Diceros bicornis minor: one gene and its partner. The protein of the gene in region 1 interacts with the protein of each later gene in a pairwise test. Links are inferred from orthologs where the notes say so. Each region holds a gene or a part of one and is shown in the gene's direction. Other genes may lie near its edges. The genes, in order: SERGEF and DPH3.

The links.
Region 2: the proteins of SERGEF (region 1) and DPH3 interact in binary tests that used the Homo sapiens proteins (3 or more experiments, as listed by UniProt). The link is inferred for Diceros bicornis minor from reciprocal best matches to the Homo sapiens genes SERGEF and DPH3.

What each region holds. Positions count from the first base shown.
Region 1 is NC_080746.1:75,712,112-75,721,308, reverse strand, and holds the start of SERGEF (secretion-regulating guanine nucleotide exchange factor), read left to right. Parts: upstream 1-4,736; 5' UTR 4,737-4,774; coding exon 4,775-4,834; intron 4,835-8,508; coding exon 8,509-8,644; intron 8,645-9,197. UniProt on the Homo sapiens protein: Probable guanine nucleotide exchange factor (GEF), which may be involved in the secretion process.
Region 2 is NC_080741.1:22,592,320-22,602,184, reverse strand, and holds the start of DPH3 (diphthamide biosynthesis protein 3), read left to right. Parts: upstream 1-5,962; 5' UTR 5,963-6,104; coding exon 6,105-6,212; intron 6,213-6,760; coding exon 6,761-6,835; intron 6,836-9,865.

The sequences.
Region 1 (9,197 bases):
GTCTAGTCTTTATTTTTACTATGTACTATGATTTGCAAGTTTGTTATTCAACTGGATAATAAATTAACACAAAATTCGTGTTCTCAGCAAGCATTTATTTTTTGTCAAACATATGTTAAAACTGATTTAAATATATGTTAGCAATTTTTGTAGTTTAAGAAATCTATAACATCAATTCTTAAAAAGCCTATGAATATGAGATATAAGGGAAGCCAAATCTGGAAACTAGAGTAACTACTTTTCAGAATTCTGGATAAAGTCTCAACTCATGTTCCTCATCTGGAAAATGAGCTAAATCTACTTCCCTGGGTTATTGGAGGAATTCTGTTATGAGAGGACTTTGTAAAAGAAACTTATTATCATATGTAAAGAATCTTTAATGTAATCACTCTCCTAATCAGAGACCCCCATAGCTTCTGGATGATTTTATCTTCCTCCAGAGGGAATTCACGTTTGCTTCTAGCAGGTAGTATATAATGGCATGGGAAGATCTCCTTAGTCCAATCAGGGATTAAGCCAATTTGAGCTGAGCTTCAGTCTTTGTGAGGGCTGGTCTGTTTCCAGGTCACCTCTACTTTTAGGGTGCAGCCCTTTGGGGATCCTAAAGGAAAGCTATGGGTGTGGACAAGGGCTTCTCCATGGGGACCCTGGGCTCCGACATTTGTCCCCTCCTTCACTCTCATCCCCCTGCCCCCATAAAATTGCTAAAAGTAATTCAATTTCTCAGCTTCTCAGTTGCAGCTTTCAGCCCAGTTTCTTAGTCTCCAAGTCACTGCTTGCTAACTAGCAAGTGCTTCAAGCAGAAGAGTAATGCCAAATATAATTGCTCAGCCTCCAGATCTTGGCCCTTCAAGTTCTGGCTGCTTTGATAGCCCTCCAGTGACTTGAAACAGATTTTAAAAATGTTTCCCCAATTTTGCTAGTTGTTTTGGTGAGAGAATTAGTCTGCAGCTAGCTAATCTGCCTTTATCCAAAGCAGAAATCTGACCTTAGGGTAAATCATTTAACTTCTTTGAGCCTCAGTTTTCTCATCTATGAAATAATGGTCCTAACAATACTTAATCATACCAGTAATAGTGAGAAGATCAAATAAGATAAACTAATGGGAAAAAATTTCCTAACCTGTATGGTACAGAGATCTAGTCTGTATGGCCCCAAATACTTTACATTTTCTTCTTATGGGGAGACAAGGCATCTGAAAGTGACACCACCAAAGAGTTTAAATCTAGCCATTCAAGAACTGTAGCTCAGGGGCCGGTCCCATGGCTTAGCGGTTAAGTGTGTGCGCTTCGCTACTGGCAGCCTGGGTTCAGATCCTGGGCGCACACCGAGGCACCGCTTCTCCGGCCATGCTGAGGCCGCGTCCCACATACAGCAACTAGGAGGATGTGCAGCTATGACATACAACTATCTACTGGGGCTTTGGGGGAAAAAAAAAAAAAGGAGGAGGATTGGCAATAGATGTTAGCTCAGAGCCGGTCTTCCTCAGCAAAAAGAGGAGGATTAGCACGGATGTTAGCTCAGGGCTGATCTTCCTCACAAAAAAAAAAAAAAAAAAGAACTGTAGCTCAAGGAAGAGCTAGTCAGTGGCGTCTACATAGTTGAAATAGTTGAAACATCTCAACACTTCCAAGAAATTGTATTAAGGATATAACTGTAAGTTAGCTGAAGTATTGATGCATGTACATTCAAGGCGTGAAATCAGGAAACAACTGTATTCTCCCAGACCCTCTCTCTGTTAAAACTGAATCTGGGTACTTCCTCCTTGCCCCTTTGGTTGATATCTCAGGTCCCTGCTGTTAAGTTTCTGCTCACTCTCAGTCTTTAGCTTCTAATCTCTCTCTCTCTCTTTCTCACACAAACACACACACACAGACACACACAGACACACATACTCTCATTTGAGTATTTTAAAAGTCCAGTCTTGTGTAAAAGTTCAAAACATCAAACTTTATGAAAGGTTAAAGTTTTTCTTCTCTGGAATTGAGAAAGGAAGGTGTGTGCTTAGTTTCTTATTTTCTTGCTCCTGCTTCTTCACTCTCTGGGATGCCTCTGGCTCCTCCAGGGTTTGGGAATGGTGATGGGGAGGACAGGTAAGGAGTAGAAAGTTCTTTTTGGTCTGATAATGTGAGTTGGCATATGTGCTTTCTGTACTTGGTAAGTATTTAAAGCTGACTCTCATTCTCTGTGGCTGTTTTGGGAGACCTTCCCACTTCTTATTTCTCGGGCTCTCTTGATGTGGGTAAATGTATCTCTTTGGGCTGTTGAATTCATCTCACTCAGCCTCTAGGAATCTAGTGGTCAACTCTCTTGTGGGTGTCACTTCACCCCTCCAGAAATTCCCTTGGACAGGGTCTGAGACCACCCCTTGGCCAATTTGCTCATGCATGGGAAACACTCACATGGGAGATACTCAGACATTCTTTGTCTTGAGAAACTCTGAGCATGAAAGATCTCTCCAAAGTGTCAATCTCTCTTTGCTCAATTATCAAAGCAGTTATCTGGCCACAAGCCATTGGACTTCTCAGCACCAACTGGACAGCAGCCTGCCCAGGCCCCAATCTGGAGGGACATATCACAGTCTCTTAGTGGCCCTCTGAAGCACACCTTTCCTTAGACATGAGGAGAGCAGGACTCACAGCACATTGACATCCATTGCCACATATCCACTCAGAATTCTCTCTCAGCCTCTCCAACATCTTTCATAGACTGGAAGTCATACACTGGTTTTTAGATACCTCCTCCACAAGTCCTGCTTTGGTGGTCTTGTATCTCACTTAATAATGTGGGAGTAATTGGCACTTACTGCCTTGGAGTCTCAGCCAAAACTGAGACGGGAAGGGTCCCATTTTTACATCCTATTACACATGCTTTAAAGGAATGGTCATATAACATAAGGAACACTCATATGAACCAATCAGCAAACATGGTATCGTTTTTGCACATCAAGGTCTCCGGAGGATGAAGAGCTGCTTTGCCTCTCTAAAGTTTGCATTTTTCTTAGCATGGTCATTGATGTTCTCAAGATGCCACAGGCAAGAGGTAAAGATGAGGTGCTGCCCTTAAGGGGTCTTACAGGTGGAAACACCAAGGAGTGGGTGGAGTGAAAAAACAGGAAAGAACTGTAAGTGCTCACTGGAAACATTTTCCAGAGCTCCCAGGCATAAAGGGTGATGAGTACTGGAGACTTGTGTCAGCAGAGGGGTCCAGTACTAGTGAATATGGATTATCATCTTTAATGTGACACCATTTGTACCCACAAGATAATGTGTGGCTTGGGAAATGTGAGTTATGTACAAAAAAGGACAAAAAAGAAAATAAAAATCACTTGTAATCCACCACCCCGAGTATGTGTGTGTGTGTGTGTATGGAAAATTGGTATAATACTTATTTTAACAACATATCATGAACACTTTCCCCTTATTTAATATCTTCCAAAACATATCTTTTAATGGCAGCCTAGTATTCCATTGCATGGCTATGCCATAATTTAATCAATTTATTTTTGGACTTTCAGGTAATAAGTTCTTTCCTATTATATGGAATCCCATAAGGATAACTTGCAGTCTAAGTCTTTGTGCACAGCTCTGATTATTTTCTTGTGAAAAATTAACAAAAGTGGAATTACGAGTTAAATATCTATTTATCTTCATCTTCCTAACATGCACTGCCACGTTGTCCTTCACGAAAATTGTACTTAGCTCCCACCAGCAGCCTATGAGGGTGTCTGATAAAAACCATTTTATACGAAAATCTTTGTTGGATGAAAATTATCCAGTATTAATGATCAGTCAGGGCAGGGGCGTGCTCAGAGCGCTGAGGGTTAGAAGGCCGCCCCAAGATGAATCCACGAGAACCAGCCTCCTCAGGTCAGTGCTCCTGGGTGCAAATTCCCGCTCCGTGCCAGGCGCTGAAGGCGACACCGCCACAGTGTAGTACGACACTACACGCGCCTACCCACAAGCTCCCTCGGAGTTTGCAAACCCACAGCAAAGCAGGCCCAAAGACAGTTCGGCCTAAGACAGCGGGGCAGGACTCTTTCCACTCCCTCTCGGGCTCAATTTCTTCCCCGTCAAATACAATCCCTGTCCTGTCAGCCTCTCTGGGCTGTCCTGGGACTCCAAGGAGACAAAAACGTGAGGGAGCGTAGTGCCTTCGCACAGAATCATTACTAAAAATAAAGAGTGCGAGGGGTGGGAGAGAGAGGCAGACCCGCCCTTTGAGACAGGAGGCCCCAGACGGAGACTCTCAGAGCCGCCCGAGCTGCGCGACTGGAGGCGGCTCCAGAGGCGGCCGGGGAGGCGGCTGCGGCGCTCCCGCCCGCCGTAGACCCCTCCCCCGGCGGGCCCCTCCCCCGGCGGGCCCCTCCCCCGGCGGGCCCCTCCCCCGTGCCAGTCCTATACCCCCAGTCACCAATCCCTCCCCTGACGGGCCCCGCCCCCGTACCGCCCCTCCCAACCACAGACTCCTTCCCGCGCCGACCCCACCGCCCAGTCTCCAATTCCTCCCCCGGCGGGCCCCTCCCCCGAGGGCCCCCTCCCCCGGCGGCCCCTCCCCTGGCGGCCTCCCTCCCCCCGGGGCCCCCTCGCCCACCACAGACCCCCCTCTCCCGACGGGCCCTTCCCTCCTCCCCACAGATCCCTCCCCCGCGGCGGGCCCCTCCCAACCACAGACTCCTTCCCGCGGCGGCCCCACCACCCAGTGTCCAATCCCTCCCCCGGCCGCCCCTTCCCCGCCCCAGCCCCTCCCGGAAGCGCCGGCGGAGCGTCCCCGCATGGCGCGCGAGCAGAGCGCCTCGGAGGCCGGCCCTGCGGCGGCCGCGCTCTTCGCCTGGGTACGTGACTCCGCCCCCGGCCGCGGCCGCTGGGACTGGGGGCGCGCGGGCGCTGGGAGCTCCCGGCCTCGGCGGGGGCGGGCTGTGGCTCCGCGGCCAAGGCCGGAGTCTGCCTTTGGGTTGGAGGATCCTGGGCTGGACGCTGAGGAGGAGAGGGCGGGGAGGGAAGGGTCTTCGCGGGGTGACTTAGGGGCCTGTTGGCTGGAGGGGTCCTGACCGGAGGGGCTGCGGCGCCGTGGGAAGAACCTGCCTCCGGGCCGAGCGTCCGGTTCCGCGGGAGCCCTCAGGCCCGGATGGCGCCGGGAAGACAGCGTGGAGGCTCCGTAGGGAGAGGACTGCCCCGCCCCGGAGCCCTGTGGGGCCACCTGTGCTCCCCACACTCCCGTTGCTCGGAGGATGCGGGCCCTTGCCCAGCCCCACCCCTGCCTGCGGCGTTTGGCCGTGCACGAGGCGGGGACACTGCATATTTGCTGATATTCCGCTGTGACTGCATCTTGCCTGTACTGGGGGCGTGGGGGTCTTGCTCTGGTTTTGGTTTGACGGGAGCACCGAGAGACAGGGTCATCTTTATGTGTCGTGGGTGGGTCTTTGCCCAGGAGTGTGTGGCAGGCATCCGACCAGATGCTCAAGAACAAGCAGACGGAGTGTCTTGTAGTTCTTAATAGCACGGATCACAACTGTAATGAAATATGTAATTTGTGAAAGTCAGTCTCCTTGGCTGGAACGTAAGCGTCATAAGGGTGGGTACTGTGTCTATTTTGTTCGGGGTGTCTGGCACATTGTAGGGTGCTCAGTAAATACTTGTTGACGAATGAATGAATACCTGTGTGTGCCGAGCTATGTACTGGTCCTCTGGGAAAAACACACGAGTCAAAGACTTCCAGCTCTTGTGTTGGGAGGGGGGGATGACATCTATATTGCAGTTAAAACCAGTATGTATTGGTTAATTTTAAAAAGGTGATATCAGTACCAGACAGAACTTGTTGAATGTCAGGCTGCAGACTGGCGGAAGGGAGAGCGTGGTGTGGCCTGAGGTAGCCTGGCTGTCTGAGCATCCTTGGGGTGGCGCTTCAGCTGGGGGTGGAGTTGGGGATTGAATGTGTGCCTGGGGTGGGTGCTGGCTCTGGCTTTTTCCCCAGGGGACTGGGGTCTGTGTGTCAGATATGGCCTTGCCCCTGTGAAACAAAGGTGTGGTTGAACCTAACCCCAGTGCTGAGTTTGGAGGCCTGCTGGTGTGTTCTTCCTGCTGCATAATCTGCTTTTGCTAGGGCTGCCATAACAAAATACCACAGACTGAGAGGCATAAACAATGGAAATTTATTTTCTCACAGTTCTGGAGGCCAGAAGTCCAAGATCTAGGTGTTAGCAGGTTTAATTTCTTCTGAGGCATCTTTCTTTGGCTCACAGATAGCTGCCTTCTCTCTGTGTCCTCATGTGGCTTCTTCTCTGTGCGAGAGCATCTGGTGTCTCTTCTTAAAATGGTACCAGTCATACGGGATTAGGGACCCACCTGTATGGTCTCAGTTAACCATAATTACCTTTTTAAAGGCCCCATGTCCAAATATAGTCACATTCTGAGGTCCTGGAGGTTAGAGCTTCAACAAATTAATTTTAGGGGAACACGATTCAGTCCATAACAAGGGGATTTACCTCCTTGAAGGTGTGTGTGTGGGGGTGTCTGGAATGTTTGTAAGGAAGAGAGGCAAATAGAACTGTAATATGTTGTATTAAATTTTCCTTCATTTTGCTTTATCCTGGATTTAGGGCCTCTTGCTGCATTACAAAAATTGAGTGCCGTAATTTGAATCCCAGAGTGCCTGTGTCTCCCTCCCTTACTTTCTGTTCGGCAGCCTGCAATCCTGGTAATGGGGCAGCCACAGAGGTCTCAGGGCTGGTGGAGAAATCCTGTGCACATACACTCCACTTCACACTGCAAGACTTGCATTGATCTTTCCTAGGTAGGGACTCGCAGGGCCTTAGAGTCATTCGCTATAAAATATATGCACACCTTCTCTGGGCCAGCAGAGTTTCAGATGCAGGGGGCATAGCAGTGAGCAAAACGAAGTTCCTCCCCTCATGGAGTGTAGGGGGTGGACAGTAAACAAGTAAACAAATATATAGTGTAATGTCAGGGAGTGCCATGAAGAAAAATAGGGCAGAAAAAGGGGATAAAGTGATGGGGGTATTATTTTAGGTAGGGTTGTACAGTTAGCCTCCTGCCAGGTAAGCCTCGGCTGTTTCACTATATATCCTGTTTTTTCTTTTTTCTTAGAGTATGGTACAATGAAAGGAACAGGGCATCCAGCTTGTTGCCTGCCTAGCTGTGTGACTGTAGAAAGTTACTTCATCTCTCTGAGCCTTGGTTTCTTCACCCGTAAAGTGAGAGTGATAATGCCCATCTCCCTGGTTGTTGTGAGGATTAAAGGTGAATGCCCAGCCCATGGAGAAGCACTCAGTAATTGGTAGCTAATATGGCTTCTGAGGGCCTCTGGGGCCTGTGCCCCTGCCCTGGTTTGCTCTTCTCTGGGAGTCCTTGCAGCCCAGAAAGGCTGTGGAATAGACCACAAGGGCTAGGAGTTTGCATGTGTGTATTTTTTGTAGTTGTTTTAAATCACTTTTTCTCATTCAGGTGTCTTCAAAAATGAACACATTTTAAAGGTTTTACTACTCACCTCTAGGAAGAACCAGCCAGGAGTAGATACTTAGAGAAATTGTAAGGATTCCTGAAATCTTAATAAGATTCTCCCTGCAGGTCTACAACTCTTTGTCTCCAATTTTGAAAACAAAAAGCTCTGAAAACCCCACACTGACCTGACATAAGGGTCTTTATAGTCTTTGCCCACTTACTGTAAGTATTTGTAGCTTTTACTGCAGAATAATACTGTTTTGCTTATGAGTGCTACTCCTGGACCTTGCAGTAGTGTGTATGATTTATGTATGGTATTGCTGTTCTTGAGTCTATAAAATTCTGAATCTGAAATACATCTGGCTGCGAGGGTTTTGGATTAGGGATTCTGGACCTTTATTATATAATAACAATGATAGACATATTGCCCACCAAGGGGAAATCTGTTCCCTTATAGGAATCTCATCATGTGAATCTTAGAGTCACAAAACATTGTACTTGGAAAGGCGCTTAGAGATCCTTGCCAACCTCTTTGTACAAATGGAATAACAATGATGTGCCTTGCTTGATGGCACTAAATCCTTAGCTACCTTTGGTTAGAGAAAGTCATTGCAGTTTTTCCAGTCAGCATGTGGGAAGAAGGGACAAGATCTGGTCCCAGGGCATTTCCCACTCACTTTGTTCATATTTGCCCTCCTTATTTCTTTCCTTAGTCTCCCTAGATAATTAGCTTTTATCAGAAGGAACTCCCATGCTGTCCCTCAAAGGGAATGCATGGGGGCTGGGCATTGGAAGGGAAGGCGAGGAGTATCATTGGATTAGTTGTGGATGCTAAGGGCTCCTCTCACATGGAAATGGTGGTGGTGTGGGGATGGGACCCACCTGCTAAGTGTGGGTTGCTTATGACAACCTCTTGAGAATAAGCCTGTGAAATCTCCTCTGTTATAGGCTCTGAGAGGTGTGAAGGTGAGCAAGATAGGGACAGGTAAGTACACATTGACAGTTGGGGTTCCCATACTTTTTTACCCTTGGCTTATTTTACCCCTAGGGTGCGAACAGCTATGGGCAACTTGGCCTTGGCCATAAGGAAGATGTGCTTCTGCCCCAGCAGCTGAATGACTTCTGTAAACCGAGGTGTGTCAGGAGGATCACAGGAGGAGGGGGCCACTCTGCTGTAGTCACAGGTAACTTCCTTCTCGAGTAGAGAGCCCTGAATTTTCTTATTTAGATATTTTCCCCTAGGGAGTTATATTGTCATCTTTTAGCCTTTTGTATTTTGTAGAGGAAAACATTTTTGTGGAGGAGCCAAGTTACCATCAGAGAATCCTAGATTGTCAGAGCTGAAAGGACTTCATATAAATGAGATTCAGAGAGGATAACTGACTGCTTAAGGTTACAAGACAAATTAGTGGCAATGTTGCAACGTCTATCACATTTTATACCATGTATTGCTATTTAACTTTCACATATGAGTTAGAAGTCTTTGCAATTAGATTGAATATTTCTTGAGAGCAAGAGCTTTGTATTTTCCTTAATCTTCCCTCACAGTACCTAGGATAGTACTCAACACGTACTACAAGTGCTGTAAAATTGTAAAAGAGAGCATATTGCATCCTAGTGAAGAATATGAGCTCTGGAATTAAACTGCCTGGGTTCAAATCCTGGTTTTGTTATTGATTTGCTGTGTGGCCTTGGGAAAATTACTTAATTTCTCTGTGCCACAGTTTCCTCTCTGTT
Region 2 (9,865 bases), on another chromosome or scaffold:
ACTAACAGAAAGAAAGCTCAAAAAGATAATACCATTTACAATTGCATCAAAAAGAATAAAATACCTAGGAATAAATCTTACCAAGGAGGTGAAGGACCTATACAATGAGAACTACAAGACATTATTGAGGGAAATCCATGATGACATAAAGAAATGGAAAGATATCCCATGCACGTGGATTGGAAGAATAAACATAGTTAAAATGTCTATATTACCTAAAGCAATCTACAGATTCAATGCAATCCCAATCAGAATCCCAATGACATTCTTCACAGAAATAGAAAAAAGAATACTAAAATTTATATGGGGCAACAAAAGACCCCAAATAGCTGAAGAAATCCTAAAGAAAAAGAACAAAGCAGGAGGCATCACAATTCCTGACTTCAAAACATACTACAAAGCAATAGTAATCAAAACAGCATGGTACTGGTACAAAAACAGACACACAGATCAATGGAACAGAATTGAAAGCCCAGAAATAAAACCACACATATACGGACAGCTAATTTTCGACAAAGGTGCTAAGAACATGCAATGGAGAAAGGAAAGTCTCTTCAATAAATGGTGTTGGGAAAACTGGACAGCCACATGCAAAAGAATGAAAGTGGACCATGTGCTATCGCCATTCACAAAAATTAACTCAAAATGGATCAAAGACCTGAAGGTGAGACCTGAAACTATAAAACTCATAGAAGAAAATATAGGCAACACACTATTTGACATTGGTTTTAAAGGAATCTTTTCGGATGACATGCCTACCCAGACTAGGGAAACTAAAGAAAAAATAAACAAGTGGGACTTTATCAGATTAAAGAGCTTTTATAAGACAAATGAAACCAGAATCAAGATGAACAGACAACCAACCAGCTGGGAGAGAATATTTGCAAAACATACATCTGACAAGGGGTTGATCTCCATAATATATAAAGAACTCACACAATTGAACAACAAAAAAACAAACAACCCGATCAAAAAATGGGCAGAGGAAATGAACAGACACTTCTCCAAGGAAGATATACAGATGGCCAATAGGCACATGAAAAGATGCTCAACATCACTAATCATCAGGGAAATGCAAATCAAAACAACACTAAGATACCACCTCACGCCTGTTAGAATGGCTATAATCACCAAGACAAAAAACAACAAATGTTGGAGAGGATGTGGAGAAACAGGAACCCTCATACACAGCTGGTGGGAATGCAAATTGGTGCAGCCTCTATGGAAAACGGTATGGAGATTCCTCAAAGAATTAAAAATAGAGATGCCCTATGATCCAGCCATCCCACTACTGGGAATCTATCCAACGCACCTGAAATCAACAATCCAAAGAGGCTTATGCACTCCTATGTTCATTGCAGCATTATTCACCATAGCCAAGAAGTGGAAGCAACCTAAGTGTCCCTCGACTGACGACTGGATTAAGAAAATGTGGTATATATATACAATGGAATACTACTCAGCCATAAAAAAAGACAAAATCGTCCCATTTGCAACAACATGGATGGGCCTGGAGCGTATTATGTTAAGTGAAATAAGCCTGAAAGAGAAAGACAAACACTGTATGATCTCACTCATATGTGGAATATAAACCAACACATGGACAGAGAAAACTGGACTGTGGTTACCAGGGCAGTGGGGGTGGGGGGTGGGCACAAGGGGTGAAGGGAGTCATATATGTGGTGATGGACAAACAAAAATGTACAACCCAAAATTTCACAATGTTAGAAACCATTAAAACATCAATAAAAAAAAAAAGACTACTGCAAGCAACAGATTAAAGATTTAAAATGAGCTATACTGGTTTCTGTTCAGTAAGTAATCAATTTATTTAACAATTACTGGGGTGCCAGGCACTATTTTAGGCGGTGAAGACACAATAAAGAACTAAACACAAGGCCCTTGCCATCATGAAGCTTTTATTACAGCGAATGTGACAGATAATAGTAAACATAATTAACAAGACAATTACAGATTACAATGAGTGTGATACAGGAAATAGAGTGATTGGGTGGGTGGGGGAGTATCAGGAAAGGTCTCTCTCAAAAAACACCTAAGCAGAGACTTGAATGATGAGGAAGAGGCAGCCAAGCAGCCGTAAGGGGCAGAGCATTCGGGCAGAGGCCCAATCACAGAAACAAGCCTGGCGTGTCAGATGAATCTCGCTTGGCCAGTGCCACTGGAGAGCAGTGAGCTAGGTGAGAGTGACATGAGATGAAGTAAAGCAGGTAGACACGTGCCAGATCACATCAGGCCATGCTGTGTATGTACTTTACTCTAAAGGGCATGTACTTTACTCTAAGGGTAATGGGAAGCAACTGAAGGGTTTGAATAAACCAGGAGAGGGACATGATCTAATTTACATTAAACAATCACTCAGGCTGCCATGCCATGGATCCTAGAGGGTCAAGAGTCGAAGCAGGAAGTCCAGTGAGAAGGCTGCAGTCTAAGATCAGAGTAGGATAAAGCTACAGAGATGACAGAAGCAGATGAACACAGAATATATTTCGGAATTAGAACCTACGACTTGTTGATAGACTGGATGAGGTGAGAGAATGAGAAAAATCAAGAATGCCTCAAAGAGCAGTAATGCACTGAAACTAAGTAAATTCACAGAACTATCACAGCACCTGTTGATTTAAAATCCTAGGTGCCACAGGGGAAGCAGAGGGATTCCTGGCATTTGGCATTTGGTCAGGAACCCTAGTGGTATACAAGTTATTATAGTGCTTGACCTGGAAGCAGTGGAACTGGGCTCAGATCTGACTCCTCCCTGGTTTTTGATCTTGGGCCAGTCACCTCTTACCATTTTTAAATGGGAATGCCAGCCCCACCTCACTGGATTGCTGAGAAGAATAAATGTCCATGGAAGAACCTGGCAAGCAAGAATCTTACTAAAAATCATCCCAAATACATTAACCACCTCTCTCCTCCCTGCCAAACAAGAAGTGGTGGTTTGATATTGCCAATAAACGACTCCCCTTGGCCTGATATACAACAGCACTCATTAAATACAGTTTCTATTACACAATTATGACCTGGTTCTAAATTTGATCTTATGCTAAGAATTTTGGTCACTGGTATTTTCCAGATCAGCACTGTTAACATTTTATGATAAAAGACATTATGAAAAAAAGCAAACCATAAATATGTGATTTCAAATGACACTATAGCAACTAGTAAATATGCTTTTGTCATGCTCTGAGGGTCCAAAAATGTCTCATTACAAAATGTTTCCATTCCCCAGGAATAACGTAAAGTTTAGTAGTCATTGTAAAGTTTTATTTAAAAGTGATGAGTGAAGTAAAAAACCCGCATCACGGGTGTAGCTATGGTTTTACTTTCTTCCGCACAGTACGATCTCAAACTGGCTAGAACCACGCAGGGAACTACCTCTGGCCAGACAAGGGGGATGGCTGACAGAAAGCAGGATGAAAGCAGTATGGAAGGCCAAGGAGACCCCCAAATCTAGACATCAAAGGAACCAGCACTGCTCTAGCAGAAAATCTCCGCAGTCTGCTGAGCTCCAGGGCTGTTTTAGTCTAGCTCTGCTTCAAACATCATCACATCACAAATGGCATCGTAGTTAATTAAGAGCCCAGGTTCTGGGGTCAGACAGATGTGAGCTCTCACCATCGCTTACTGCCACTTTCAAGCTTTGCCTCCTTTGGCAAATTCTTTAGCCCCTAAACCTCAGGTTTCCCAGTACTGAAGATGGGATTAATGATACCCATACTCACTAGGCTGTTTTAATGACATAATGCATGTTTCAATGACATAATGCATTTGGTACAATGCCTGGCACATAATGTCAATTATTATTAATAAGAGGCTCATTAGTTTTTCTTTTTCCATTTTAAGTAATACATACTCAAAGAGAAGTTGGAAAATCACAAAAAAATTATGAACAAAAACTACTCAACAACCCCTGTAACTTTTAGGACTGTTAACCTCAGATTTCAAGATTCCCCAGCAAATTGTTTTTGATGGATCCAAACTGCTTTCTAAAAGGTCTACCAATTTATACTTCCATGAGCCAAATATGACTGCACCCATTTCTGAACATTTGAAAATGGCTCATCTTTAATTTGCAGATACTTATGCTCAGAAGCACTGATGAACTAAATATGGTTCCCAACCTCAAATCAATCACTGGGACTACAGAATAGACACTGGGGACTCTCTCCTGTCCTCCCGCCTCCAAGAGGCTACCTGGGAAGTCTCTGTGTCTACAGAGATACAGGGAGCAGCCACTGAGCTGTGTGGGCTTTGCTGGAATGTCTCCTTTGCTCAGACAGATCAGAAGCATCCCAGTTAACCCTCAACGAGTTTAACAAACGTTTCCTAACTGCTTGGTAGATTTTCAATTGTGCTAAATGGAGCGTTTGTGAAGCTTCTGAAAAAATCTTCTACAAACTCCTTCAATGTAACTTCTGAATTTTCTTCCCAAGACTCCTCTGCCTTTAGGTTTTCAAGCCTTAAAAGAGCTAAAGTAGGTGGAGCTTCATTTTGGTGTGCACAAAATTGGTAACTTCATGCAAACATTTGAGTATGTCTACATAAATAAGCATAGGGATGTGTATATAAGTGTGTGTAATATATACGTATTATGTAAATATAAAATACAGTATACGTGATTGTGAAACCAAAACTCATATCGATGCAAAAGTAGAATGTTAGATCTGAAGAGATCTTGTAAATCATCTCTAATCCAACCCTTTTTTAGTCAGAAAAGGAAATAAGGCCCAAAGAATGTAAACATCCAGCTCCCAGAGCCAGTTGGCAACAGTCAGATTCTGAGCCCGGATCTTCTGCTTCTCAGTACTGTAGCGTTTTCATTGCACTGCATGCCTTCTCCACCAGGAGGTGAATAAATGCCTAGTCATGGAGCAATACCCCACGGAATCCAGCTGTACCAAAACAGGCACTAGCACCAATTTCAATACAAACCACCTTTAATTTGCATTTCACTTCGAGGTATACACAGGCCTCACGTAATAACCCTGCTCGCTGACCCTCTTCCTTTTGCAAAAAGGAAACTGTTCACATACATTAACTAATTTGTTCCTGGGCTTTGGGGACAGACAGGCCCTTCTTTTCCTAGGTGTGTGATCTTGGTCAAGATACCCAACTCTCTGTGTCTCAGTTTGAAGATTAAGAATAGAGAACTCCCAGGGCTGATGGGAGAATTACACTTACCGCAATACCTGGTACCCTGCAAACTCCCAATAATAAAAGCTATTACTACTAATCACTATAGTTAATAACGTTATACGCCTGGCAAACACACGACTAGAACGCAATCTCTGCCTTCCAGGTGTAGGTCCTTTGAGCAACACAATTTAGGGCATTTGAAGATACTGCGGGGTGAGGAAGAGGCGAGGATGTACCTGAATAGCCGAGTGCGGCCAGGAACTACAAGCTAGGCGTTGCCCTGAGCTCAAGGTCACTCGGTGAATAAAAATTCCAAGGGAGCTTCCATCCGTCACCGGGGAGGCAGGCAGGGCGGTCCAGGAGGCTGAGCTGCTCCCGCCGCTGCCTCAGACTCAGCAAAGCAGCCCCCCCCGCTTTCCCCAGGGGCGCCGAGGCCGCGTCGATGCTACCTAGGCCTGCTGCGGCCTTCCGCTGGGTCGGCTTAAGGCCTCTCTAAGCTCCGCGGGCGTAAGACAAGGCAACGACAGCCACAGTAAGAAACCTCCACGCCGCCGCCACGGGGATCTAGCTCACAGACTCGAGCCAAACTCCACTACCTCCGCCTGAGAGATTCCGGCGTCCCCGACATGACGTAGCAGCAGCGCGAGCCATCCCCACATTTTATTGGTCGCTGCCGTCCGATGGGCGGAGCCGTGAGCGACAGCACTAATCAGCGAGCGCCGTCTTCCAGTGTCTCCGCCCCCTAGCTCAGGCATCTCCATGGTGACCGCTACCGGTCACCCATTTGGCCTACAAGGCCGGAGTTGCGTCATTTTCTATGCGCCGGAAGTGACCGTTCCTGAGCCGGTGCGTGGTGACAACGACCGCCTGGGGTTGGCGCCCGCGAAGTTAGACCGAGCCGGGACCGTGTCGGACGGCGAGGTGACAGACCTCTGCGGGCCCCAGTGATAATGGCGGTGTTTCACGACGAGGTCGAGATCGAGGACTTCCAATATGACGAGGACTCGGAGACGTATTTCTACCCCTGCCCTTGTGGGGATAACTTCTGCATCACCAAGGTAATCTCGGGGTCCCGCCCTGCGACTCCTTGGAGCAGGCGCGTTTTCGCTGCGGTCTTCCTTCCGCCATTCCGTCCCGCATGAGACTTATAGTTATCCATTCCCTTTTAATCCTGTTTCTGAATCCCCCAAAATTGACGCTCTGAGCTGTCAGGGGGCACATCGTTCTGGGCTTTAGTCAGGCCAGGGGGGTGGAGTCAGGCTGGAGGGGTGGGGGTGGATGGCGAGGAGCATCAGTTTTCTCGCCATTCTCCCCTACTTAGGGTCCCACTTCCTGGGATACTTCTTTGGAGGAAGGGACGCGTTTTTGTTTGCCCTGGGGTTTTGAGGGCACTGAACTTTGACTCACCTTCCTGGGTATTTCCCCCACGTGATGTTTCCGGGGAAAAATGGGGTTGGCATTTTTCTCAGAAGGCCCTTTTGGCGCTCACGTACCTTATGGAGAGGCAAGCCACAAAGGAGCTTGCCCATAGTGGTGGGAGGGTTTGGGAGGAGGAGATTGCAGTGGGAACACTATGCTGATCATATGGTGTTTGATTTCGTTATAGGAAGATTTGGAGAATGGAGAAGACGTGGCAACGTGTCCTAGCTGCTCTCTCATTATAAAAGTGATTTATGACAAAGTAAGAGGTCCAATTTTAAAAAGGTGGGGGGAGAGTTTTGAGGCAAGGACCTAGAGAAGTCTGTCTGTGATATAAGTGTGGAAGAATGTTTCCTAACAGTGTTAGGAAAATGCTGTGTTTTAAAACATTTTAAAAACTATTAATAAACAGCTATATTGTAAATTAAAATTTTAAAAGTTCAAATTAACTCATTTTAGCTTTGGAGAGGTCAGTAAAGAAAACTGCTCTGTTTAATGAAAATTATTGATTACTTATTAAATAGTAGAAAAATAATCTTAAAAGTTATTTAATTGACAGTCTTTATTCCTCTTTTATTTAATAAGTAATTAAAATTATTCAGAGTTCCTAAATTTATTTTGAAGGGAACTGTGTAGTATTTCTTATATTTATATAAGGTGTAATATATATATATTTCTATATATAGAATGGAATTGTATGGTATTTCTTACCTGGCTTCTGCATAGAACTTTGCATTATCTTGTTTGAGATATAAGTCGTAGTTGCAATTTTACAATTTTGTTTTAGTCTTTAGTTGTCCTATTGTTTTTCACCCAAGGATACTGAGAATAGAAAACAATAAATGTTATTAATGCCCCCCCCACACACTTTTAGTCAGTACTTTGAATAGAGTCTTCAGTTAGAAGCTAAACATTCTTTTTTTTTTGAGATATAGTTGACACGTAACAGAGCTTAACATTCTTAAGGATGAACTCTAAAATGAGTATAGGGAAGGTGGGAACGAGGCACTTAGCCTCATGAGAGAAGCCTGCTATAATTTAGAAGTTTACTTCTAAAATAAAGAAGATTTATTCTTGGATTAAAATGTGTTCTGGAACAGGAAAAGAACAGGGTAAGGGAGATGAGGAGTGCTGGTATGAGAAGAGATTGCAGTTTTAAATAGGGTGATCATGGCAGGCCCAATTGAGAAAGGCCTTTTTGAGCAAAGATTGAAAGAGGTGAGGAAGTGAACCCTGTACATATGCGGGGTAAGAGCAGTGTGGCAAAGGGAACTTGCAGTGAAGAGACCCTGAGGCAGGAACGTGCCTGCTTTTATCAAGGAACAACAGGGAGGCCATTGTGACCAGAGCAGAAGGAATGAAGGTGAGAGTTGTCCAAGGTGAAATTAGTGGAGTGGGGCAGATCACAAGGGTGTCTGTGGGCCACTGTAAGGACTCTGGCTTTTGCTGTGAATGATATAGGGAACCACTGGAAGATTTCTGAACAAAGGAGTGCCATGATCCAACTTAAGTTTTAAAAGAGTGATTCTGGCTGCTGTGTTCAGAGTAGGCTGAGGGAGCAAGGATAGAAGCAGGAAAACCAGTTAGGAGGCTATTAGACTAATCAAAGAGGGAGATGGGTGGTTTGGACCAGGCTGCAGCAATAGTGAGAAGTGGTTGGATTCTGGATACACTTGAAAGGATAAGGATTTTCTTACTGATTGGATGTAGAATATGAGAGGAGTCAAGGATGATTTCAACATTTGTGGCCTTGGTAACTGGATGGATGGATTTACCATCAACTGATGGGGAGGTGACTGCAGGTATAGGGGCCAGAGCTGGACATACTAAGTTTGAGAGGCCTGTTTTTCATCCAAGTGGAGTGAGTGAGGAGGCAATTGGATATGGAAGTCTGGAGTTCAAAGAGAGATAAGCTAGCGCTGTAAATTTGGGAGTTATCAGCATATAGATAGCATTTAGAGCTGTAAGATTGGATGAGATCACTGGGGCTGTGAATGAAGGTAGAGATGGACAAAAGAAAGGACTGAGTTGGGACCCTCCAACATTTAAAGGTCAGGGAGGGAAGCAAAGAATCAGCAGAGCTGGCTGAAAGGGAGCAACCTCTGAGGAAGAAGGAAAACCACCAGTGTCATATCCTAGAAGCCAGATGAGAAAAGATGGAGGAAGTGATCAACCTTGTCGGATGCCACTAATGGAAAGGCAACTGAAAGTTAACCGTTAGCTTCAACAGGGAGAGGCCATTTGTGATGGTGATAAGAGCGGTTTCAGGGGCCGGCCCCGTGGCTTAGCGGTTAAGTGCGCGCGCTCCACTGCTGGCGGCTGGGGTTTGGATCCGGCCACGCACCGACGCACCACTTCTCCGGCCATGCTGAGGCCGTGTCCCACATACAGCAACTAGAAGGATGTGCAACTATGACATACAACTATCTACTGGGGTTTTGAGGGGGGGGGGAAGGAGGAGGATTGGCAGTGGATGTTAGCTCAGAGCCAGTCTTCCTCAGCAAAAAGAGGAGGATTAGCATGGATGTTAGCTCAGAGCTGATCTTTCTCAAAAAAAAAATTAAAAAAAAAAAAAAACGAGCAGTTTCAATGGAGTAACAGAGACAGAGCCTGATTAAGGAAAACTTGTTGGAGAGAATGAGAGAAGAATAGGAGACAGCAAGTGTAGACATTTCTTTCAAGGAGTTTGCTGGAAAGGGGAGCAGAGACATGGGGCAGTAACTGGTGGTGAGAGAGGATCAAGAGGGTTTAAGGTGGTAGACATTCAGCTATATGGGTGAATGTAGAGACAGGAAGTTAGATTTAACCAGGATTGTGGTTTTGCCAAGTGAGTAGGAAGGAGTGAGAGCAGAGCGATTATGATAATTGACCATGGGGTTTAACTAGGTAAAGAAAACATTAAGGGAGTGAGAGGCAGTGAAAAGGTGGTAGAATAAATACAGTGGAGGTCCCAGAGGGGTTGAAATGAGGGCTCCAAGGGGGTAGGTGACAGCAACAGAGAGGAGTGGTGATGATATAGTCTCATGACTATATTCAAAGTTGGTGGTTTTCAGAGGGGAAAAGAGAACCATGGCAGAAAGGAGCAACCAGCCACTTCTCCAGTCTCTGTGGTACTGGGGCCCTGAGAGCACACGGAGCCACCATTTGACGGGTTATGCAGGAAACAGTGTCTTTAGGGGATGGCCTCTTCTCAACCTCAGCATTATGGACCTTTTGGGCTGAATAACTCTTTGTTGTACAGAGCTGTCCTATGCACTGGAGGGTGTTTAGTAGCATCCCAGGCCTCTACTCA